Linked DNA regions of Oryctolagus cuniculus. The protein of the gene in region 1 interacts with the protein of each later gene in a biochemical or structural test. Links are inferred from orthologs where the notes say so. Each region holds a gene or a part of one and is shown on either strand. Other genes may lie near its edges.

Region 1 (4,357 bases):
ACAAGGCAGGTAGTAGAGAGTGGGACAACAAAAAGTAATCAAGGCGCCAACCAACGTTCTTGGACCGGGCATTCATCATGTAAGTCCAAAAGGTATAGGCGTAGGCAGTGTCAGGGTAGAGGTGCCGAAAGCTGTCGGTCAGTGGCACAGCCTGCAGCAATTCCCCAAAGCCTTGGCGCTCTTGTGGAGTGAAGCCAGCATTCTTTTTGTTCCCTTTGGGGTTGCGAAGGTCAATTTCTTCATGCGCCACGTTGAGGTCCCCACACAGCACAAGAGGCTTGCGGGAAGCCAAGCCCTTCAGGAACTTTCGGAAGGCTTCGTCCCAGCGCTGGCGGTACTCCAACCTTACCAGACCACGGCCCGCGTTAGGCACGTAGGCTGTTACCAGCACGAACGCATCAAATTCAGCCACAATCACCCGGCCTTCCTGATCGTGTTCTTCCTCACCTACAAAATCAGTGCAACAGAATCAGCATAAAGAACTGCACGAAGAGAAGGCAGGGAAGAAAGGAATCGGAGTGGGCCAGGACAGTATCAGCAGTTCTGGAAGCACTCAGGCACTGGGGGCAGCAGGCTCTTACCAATGCCATAGGAGACCTTGAGCGGGCACTGGCGGGAAAGGAGGCCCACCCCGCTGTATCCTTCCTTGTCTGAAGGAGCTGACCAGTACTGGTGAGGTAATCCAGGCAGCTCCTGAAGTTCAGCTGGCAGCTTGTTCTCTGAACACTTGGTCTCCTGGAGGCACAGAATATCTGGGGCTTCTTCCTTTATCCACTGGGAGTGAAAAAGGGGAAAAAACATCAGCTCAGGAGACTTTTACTCAATACATGTGCATAAGCAGCTCTGTGTAGCAGCACAAATCTTGGACAATTATTGTAACTGACAATGGAAGGAGGTAAAAAAAAAATCTTAAATGCTACACTAAGAGATTGTGTTTTTTTCTATAGGTAGCGGATAGCCAGCTAAGATTTTGTTGGTTGTTTTTTAGACTTAAAAAGCAAGATTTATGACAGTCAAAGACATCCAGCCACAACAGCATGGAGGGGGACTTCCAAGAGAGGAAAAAACCCAAAGGGGCTGGTGTTAAGGGTTTTTAAGTACAATTCTGGGGAAGAAACTGTTAATAAGGTGGGGACAGGGACCAGTGCTGTGGCACAGCGGGTTAACACCCTGGCCTGAAGCACTGGCATCCCATATGGGCGCCAGTTCAAGATCCGGCTGCTCCATTTTTTTGAGTGGGAAAATAGCTTTATTTCTCTGGGGAGCAGGTGGGCGTTGGTTTCAGAACTTCTGGAACTGCTTCTTGGTGCCATCGGCCTTGGTGACCTTGAGCACGTTGAAGCGCAAGGTCTTGCTGAAGGGCCGGTACTCGATTTATTTTGTTTATTTGAAAGAGTTACAGAGAGAGGTATAGACAGAAAGGTCTTCCATCTGCTGGTTCACTCCCCAGATGGCTGCAATGGCCAGCGGCTGCTCCACTTCTGATCCAGCTCTCTGCTATGGCCTGGGAAAACAGTAGAAGATGGCCCAAGTCCTTGGACCCCTGCACCGGTGTGGGAGACCTAGAAGATCCTGGCTTCAGATGGGCGCAGCTCTGGCTGTTGCAGTCAATTGGGGAGTGAACCATTGTATGGAAGACCTCTCTCTCTCTCTGTAACTTTGCCTTTCAAACAAATGGATAAATCTTTAAAAGAAAAGAAAAGGTGGGAATGAACCCAACAGAAGACCTGATTTACAATCCTTTATGCTGTCTGGCTTGCTCAGGATGAAACATTAGAGCCATCACAAGGGCAGCTAAGACTTTTAAGCAGTAGATTTGGGAATGGAGGGTATTCTGGAGCTAAAATGGAGGCTGGCCAGCACAGAGGTTTTTGCAACAGTCGGAGGAAGGATACATTAGTAAGACTGGCAATGGCAATGAAGGAATGGACATTCCAGCAAGTCTTGGTTCATCTTCTACTGCTTTCCCTTTGCCCCTTGTACTTCTCCCACAAGAAAAGAAAGGAGAAAAAAAAGTTACATCCTGGGCATTAAAATGAAAAGACGCTAATGAAGCCCTGAGACCATTCAGCATGAAATCTGAATTCCACTCACATCTAAGCCTTTCTTCTTAATCCAGGCTCGAAGCCCATCCACGTTCCAGGAGCAGATCTTCAGTGTGGCAGCTTTGCCGCTAGGTGAGGTTTTCTGGTCTGGGGGGTCCTCATACAGCACGGGGCCCTCTCCTGCTGACTCTTTTTCATTTTTCTTCGCTGCCGTCTTAGCCTTCTTGGTCTCTGGCTCTATAACGAGAATAATACGTAGGGATAAGAGCTGGAGGTTTCCAACATCGAGTCAGAGTCCAAGGCAAACGCACCGCGACCCTGCGGTTAGCGCGACTTCCTCTCCTGCGCCCGCTATGAGTTGGCCCACAGCTAACATTTCGCCAAGGGACTCAGAAGCAGCCCCCCCAACCCCGCCCACCGCGACTGGCAGGGAGAGGCCGCTTCACTCTCACCCGTCTTGGGCTCCTCCCCGTCTTCTGCCGCGGCCCCCTTCTTCCCTCGCTTTGGCATGCCTGTAACGATCGCCCTTCGGCACCCGAACCACGTCGACCACCGAAGCAGTATCTTCACCGCGATGCCTAAGGATGCAAAGATATACGACTCAGCCGGCGAAGGCTGGGGAGAAAACTCCTGCCCTGGACGGCCCCCGCACTAAGTCCCGCCTTTCAAACCACATAATCTCTGAATCCTGTCCCCGCCTCGGTGCATCAGGCCTTCGGCGCTTCACTCCCCAACTAGATCTATCCATAGAGCGTTTGAATCACCGCGAGATCCGCTCTACGGCCAACGGGAGACCTTTACTAAAGGTCCCGTGAGGCAGCTAGCGGAGGCCCCTCCAACAAGCAAAAACGCAGCGCTGCACCTGACCTGCTCCTGCCCCGCTCCTGCCCCAGCCTGGCTCCTTACCCGAGCACAAAGAAGGGAGCACGCTGGACGCCCACGTGGGTAACTGGCGTGGTCACGTGACCCGAGGCCGCGCGTGATTGGGCCGTCTGCCACCACGTGACGGAGACTCTGACACGCCCCTCTCACTCCGCGGAGGGCTGAAGGTCCCAAGGCTCCGTTCTTGGGCTGTTCACGTTCGTGCCTGATGTACGGCTCCTTCTGCCGCCCTGACCGAAGGAGCCGGCGCCGTGCGAGGGGGCAGAAGCTCAGTGGCAGCGACTGGGCTGGGCCGCAGGAGAGAGGCGGGGGAGTGGACTAGGCAGGGCCGGCGCAGAGGCCGGCTCAGCGCTCCCGGCAGCTCCGGAGACAGGTTCCGGAAGGGGCCTTGTGGGTCGCCGGCGGGCGCAGGCGCAGGCGCGGGCACTGCCCCCGCGGCAGGTTTTGGTGTCCGGGCGCGGTTTACTGTTTACCAACAGCGTGCCGGTACCGCCCGCCGAGGGCTGTCGCGGCTCGGTGTTTGGCGCCTTGGCGTTCTCTCTCAGGCGGCGCCATGCCGACGGTGCTGGGGTTTGAAGGCAGCGCCAACAAGATTGGCGTGGGAGTGGTGCGGGATGGCAAGGTGCTGGCCAACCCGCGGCGGACCTATGTCACGCCTCCGGGCACAGGTGAGTCCTGGACTTAATTTGCGACGACCTTCCCCGCGCACATCACCTATTTCCCTGAACACCAGTGAATGGGGCCCGGGGAATTTTGTCCCATTTTACAGCTCGTTGAGGTTATGTGATGTTATTGTCAGAAGGCGGATGAGTGGAAGAGCCACAGGCGCTTGGACCTGAATCTTCTGGGGTTGTCGAGCTTTCATTGAATGCTTTTTGCGTACCAAGACCTCATAAACTTGTAGAAATCTACCCTGGAGTCTAATGTATAAACGAATTGTAACAGCGTGATGAGTGGTGTAATAGAGATGGACTCAAAATGTTGTAAAATGCGGAGGAGAGACGTGAAGATGGAAGGAATTAGGATTTAGGTACCGGATAGAATTGACTGGTATTGGGATACTCTTGACTTTTTTTTTTTTCACTTTTTAATGTTTGCTTTTTGCTTATTTTTATCTACTGGAAAGGCAGGGTGACAGCCAGCCAGAGAGAACCTCATCTACTGGTCCACTTCCCAAATGCCTGCAGTAGCCAGGGCTGAGTGAGGCAGAAGCCAGGAGCCAATAGCTCCATCCGTGTCTCCCATTTATGGGTTGCAGGGGCTCATACTCTTGGCCATCATCTGCTCCCTGCCAGGGTGCACATCAGCAGGAACTTGGATTGGAAGCCGAGTAGCTAGGCCTTGAGCCTGGGCACTCCCATGGGGAATGTGGGTGTCCCAAGTGCCAGAACACCCACTGTACTTTGTGACTCTTAAAATGGGAGTGGTGG
Region 2 (3,456 bases), on another chromosome or scaffold:
CAACTCTGGCTGTTGCACGTGTTTAGGAAATGAACCAGCAGATGAAAGACATCTCTCTCTCTCTCTCTCTGCCTTTCAGATAGATAGATAAATAAATAAATACATCTTTTTTTTTTTTTTTTTTTTTAAGTGCAGAGCAGGTTCTGGGTTTGAAAGAAAAAGTTGCTTCCTCTGTACAAGGCTCGCTCTCCCCTAACCACTGAGAGGTGATAGTCCATGCGATGGAGTTATCAAGAGGTTGAATGGCAGATCCAGTGAAGCACTTGACAGGGTCTGGCATAGAGTGGGTGCTCACTGAGTTTAGGTACTTACAGCCACTAAGACAAGGCAACCAGAGAATGGAGCAGTGAAGATCGCCTGGATGCATTTTCTCATTACTAGTGGTCAGCCAGCTATGACTTACTAGATCAGGAAGAGATTAGGTATAAAAATAGCTCATCTGTATCCCCTACTGATTTGCCATCTGCTCATAGGCAAATCTTTTCTCTCTGATCCTTGGTTTCTAATGCCTGTAAAATGAAGATTTGGACTAAATGACTATGAAAGTTTGTTTTAGCATAGCCATGCTACATCTCTAAGCAGAGAATTCTCCCACCCACCCCACATGCTCCCAGACACATCTAAACAACCCCTCTCCCCACATGCGGTCACAGTAAGCATCAGTGAGACACAAATGCTCCAAAACAGGAGGTCTTGGTCCTTGACCCATCCCAGCCATGGCCCCTTAAAGCTTGCATGTCTCTAGGGCTGTACTCATGCTGGTTCCTGTGAGACCATTTGGTTAGCCTCACGGGTTGCCACAATGCCACAGCCAGTCAAGAGCAAACCCATGGGCTTCCTGAGTGCATGAGAAAAGCGAGACATGTGAATGGTGTTGGCAGGAAGGTAGCTATCGCCCCTGCATGACCCTGAAATAGCCTTTTGACGACTTTGGCTGGGTCTTTTTTTTTTTTTTTTTAACATTTATTTATTTATTTGAAAGGCAGCGTTACAGAGAGGGAAAGAGAGATCTGCCATCTGCTGGTTCATTCCCCAAATAGCTGTATCTGCTGGGACTGGGACAGGCCAAAGCCAGGAGCCTGGAACTCCATCCAGGTCTCCCATGTGGGTGGCAGGGACCCAAGCACCTGGGGCATCTTCCACTGCTTTCCCAGGTGCATTAGCAAGGATGCTGAATCAGAAGTGGAGCAGCTGGGACTTGAACTGGTGCTCATATGGGATGCCAAGGTTGCAGGCAGTGTATTAACCCACTGTGCCACAAGGCTGGCCCCTAATTGGGTCTTTCTCATCTAGGCCATCATGAGGAAGCCACGAGGAGCTGTGGGAAGTGGTCACAGGAAGCAGGCAGCCAGCAAGAAGCGAAGAAAACAACATGCCCTTGGTAGCAGCCAAATTGCACCTTCTGACCCTGATGGTGAGGAATTTGGCCCTAGCCAGAGGCTCGGGGCTGGTTTCATCAGCCGTGAAAGGGGGGAGCCTTGGGCTAGGAAGGGAGCATGGAATGTGTCAAGGCATTGAGACTGGGGATGGCACTGTGGCACTGTGAGTTAAGCCACTGCTTGTAACGCCAGCATTCCATATCCGAGTGCTGGTGCGAGTTTTCAGCTACTCCACTCCTGATCCAGCTCCCTGCTAATGCACCTGGGGAAGCAGTGGATGATGGCCCAAATACCTGGGCCCCTGCCACCTATGTGGGAGTCCTGAATGGAGTTCCAGGCTACTGGTTTTGGCCTGGCCCATTCCTGGCTATTGTAGCCATTTAGGGAGTGAACTGGAAGATGGATTCTTTCTCTCCCTTGCCCTCTCTCTCTCTCTTACTCTCCCTCTCTGTGTGTCACTCTGCCTTTCATGGCATTGAGGGACTAATTGAGGACCTAGTTCTGACTACGCTGCTTTGTGACTTTGCGATAATTGCTGTGAATGGCTGCTTTCTTACCAGTGAAGTGGAGCAGTGATCTGCATTTCTTTTCTCCCACGGCTTTTGTGGGAGCACATGTTTGTGAGACTGGGAGTGTTTTATAAACAGGAAAACTCTGTGCAAGTGTACATTCTACATGGCTGACACTCTTGGGTTTCCATTATGGCCCAGAAACAAATGAGCCGGTCATACCACTGGAAATTAAGGCCAGAACCTTGGCCAAGGCTGCATAGAGCACGAGAACTGTGACTGCAGCTCCGAGGCTTAAGCAGAGGTCGGGAAGCCCTCGGTGGGAGCATATTGCCACAGGCTGCTGTGTCCTGTGTCCCTGGTTCACAGCCTGCACAGGGAGAATCCCTGAGTGTCCTGAGGCCCCAGCAGGCCCGGCCAGACAGCAGGAAGAGGTGGTGTCGCAGGCCTCCGTCTCCCCGTACCATCTGTTCAGAGATTCAGCTGAAGTCACAGCCTTCCGTGAGGGCCTGCTGAACTGGTATGACCGTGAGAAGCGGGACCTACCCTGGAGGAGACGGGTAGGCAGGGAAGGGAAAGGGATGGAGGGGTGGGGAGAGACTGGCACCCAACCCTCTCCATGCTAACTGCGTATCTGGGTTGCATTGACAGGCAGAGGATGAGGTGGACCCAGACAGGCGGGCGTATGCTGGTCAGTACATCTCCTGAAAGTAGGGCTGCTTTGCCTGCATGGTCTCAGCTTTGGGGGCTTCAGGCAGCGAGCAGGTCAGCAGTGCCCTCATGCCAGCCCCTCTTCCCCAGTGTGGGTCTCAGAGGTCATGCTGCAGCAGACTCAGGTTGCCACGGTGATCAACTACTACACCCGATGGATGCAGGTGACTCATGGGAGGAAGGGGAGGGTCAGGAGTCAGACCCCAGATGAGAGCCTATACTTTGGGGTGTGTGTAAGGAAGGCTTCCTCTACCGTTCTCATCCGTGACCTCATCTCTTTTTGCCTGCCTTGGGGCTGTAGAAGTGGCCAACACTGCAGGACCTGGCCAGTGCTTCCCTGGAGGTGAGAGCCACACTAGGGTAGGGGAAAGGGAAACAGCTGAGGGATTGACCAGTGATCTTGTGGACCTGTGGCCCCACCCACAGGAGGTGAACCAGCTCTGGGCTGGCCTGGGCTACTATTCTCGAGGCAGGAGGCTGCAGGAGGGAGCTCGGAAGGTGAGGAAATCGTGGGGAGTTGGGAGTCCAGGGACCTTGAGTCTGTAGTAACCTTGAGCTTTCCTACCCCTATCAGGTGGTAGAGGAACTTGGGGGCCATGTGCCACGAACCGCAGAGACCCTGCAGCGGCTCCTGCCTGGTGTGGGGCGCTACACAGCTGGGGCCATAGCTTCCATCGCCTTTGGCCAGGTGAGCCCATAGCCCACCCCTACTTTGTGCATGCTCACCCTCTTTCTTCCCAGTCCAGGCTGACTCCTAGGCTCCTCTGTGCTAGGCAACCGGCGTGGTAGATGGGAATGTGGTGCGGGTGCTGTGCCGTGTTCGAGCCATTGGTGCTGATCCCAGCAGCGCTCCTGTC

The links.
Region 2: the proteins of APEX1 (region 1) and MUTYH form a complex in vitro, tested with the Homo sapiens proteins (3 studies listed by BioGRID and IntAct, with this or other methods). The link is inferred for Oryctolagus cuniculus from reciprocal best matches to the Homo sapiens genes APEX1 and MUTYH.

What each region holds. Positions count from the first base shown.
Region 1 is NC_091443.1:54,294,204-54,298,560, forward strand, and holds the start of APEX1 (DNA repair nuclease/redox regulator APEX1), read right to left. Parts: upstream 3,089-4,357; 5' UTR 2,952-3,088; exon of another isoform or gene 2,773-2,951; intron 2,626-2,772; exon of another isoform or gene 2,624-2,625; 5' UTR 2,556-2,623; coding exon 2,498-2,555; intron 2,283-2,497; coding exon 2,095-2,282; intron 775-2,094; coding exon 582-774; intron 448-581; coding exon 1-447. Other genes in the region: OSGEP (tRNA N6-adenosine threonylcarbamoyltransferase), read left to right, coding at 3,481-3,595.
Region 2 is NC_091438.1:127,564,409-127,567,864, forward strand, and holds part of MUTYH (adenine DNA glycosylase), read left to right. Parts: intron 1-1,293; 5' UTR 1,294-1,299; coding exon 1,300-1,414; intron 1,415-2,257; coding exon 2,258-2,448; intron 2,449-2,539; coding exon 2,540-2,579; intron 2,580-2,689; coding exon 2,690-2,763; intron 2,764-2,900; coding exon 2,901-2,942; intron 2,943-3,025; coding exon 3,026-3,097; intron 3,098-3,173; coding exon 3,174-3,287; intron 3,288-3,372; coding exon 3,373-3,456. UniProt on the Homo sapiens protein: Involved in oxidative DNA damage repair. Initiates repair of A*oxoG to C*G by removing the inappropriately paired adenine base from the DNA backbone. Possesses both adenine and 2-OH-A DNA glycosylase activities.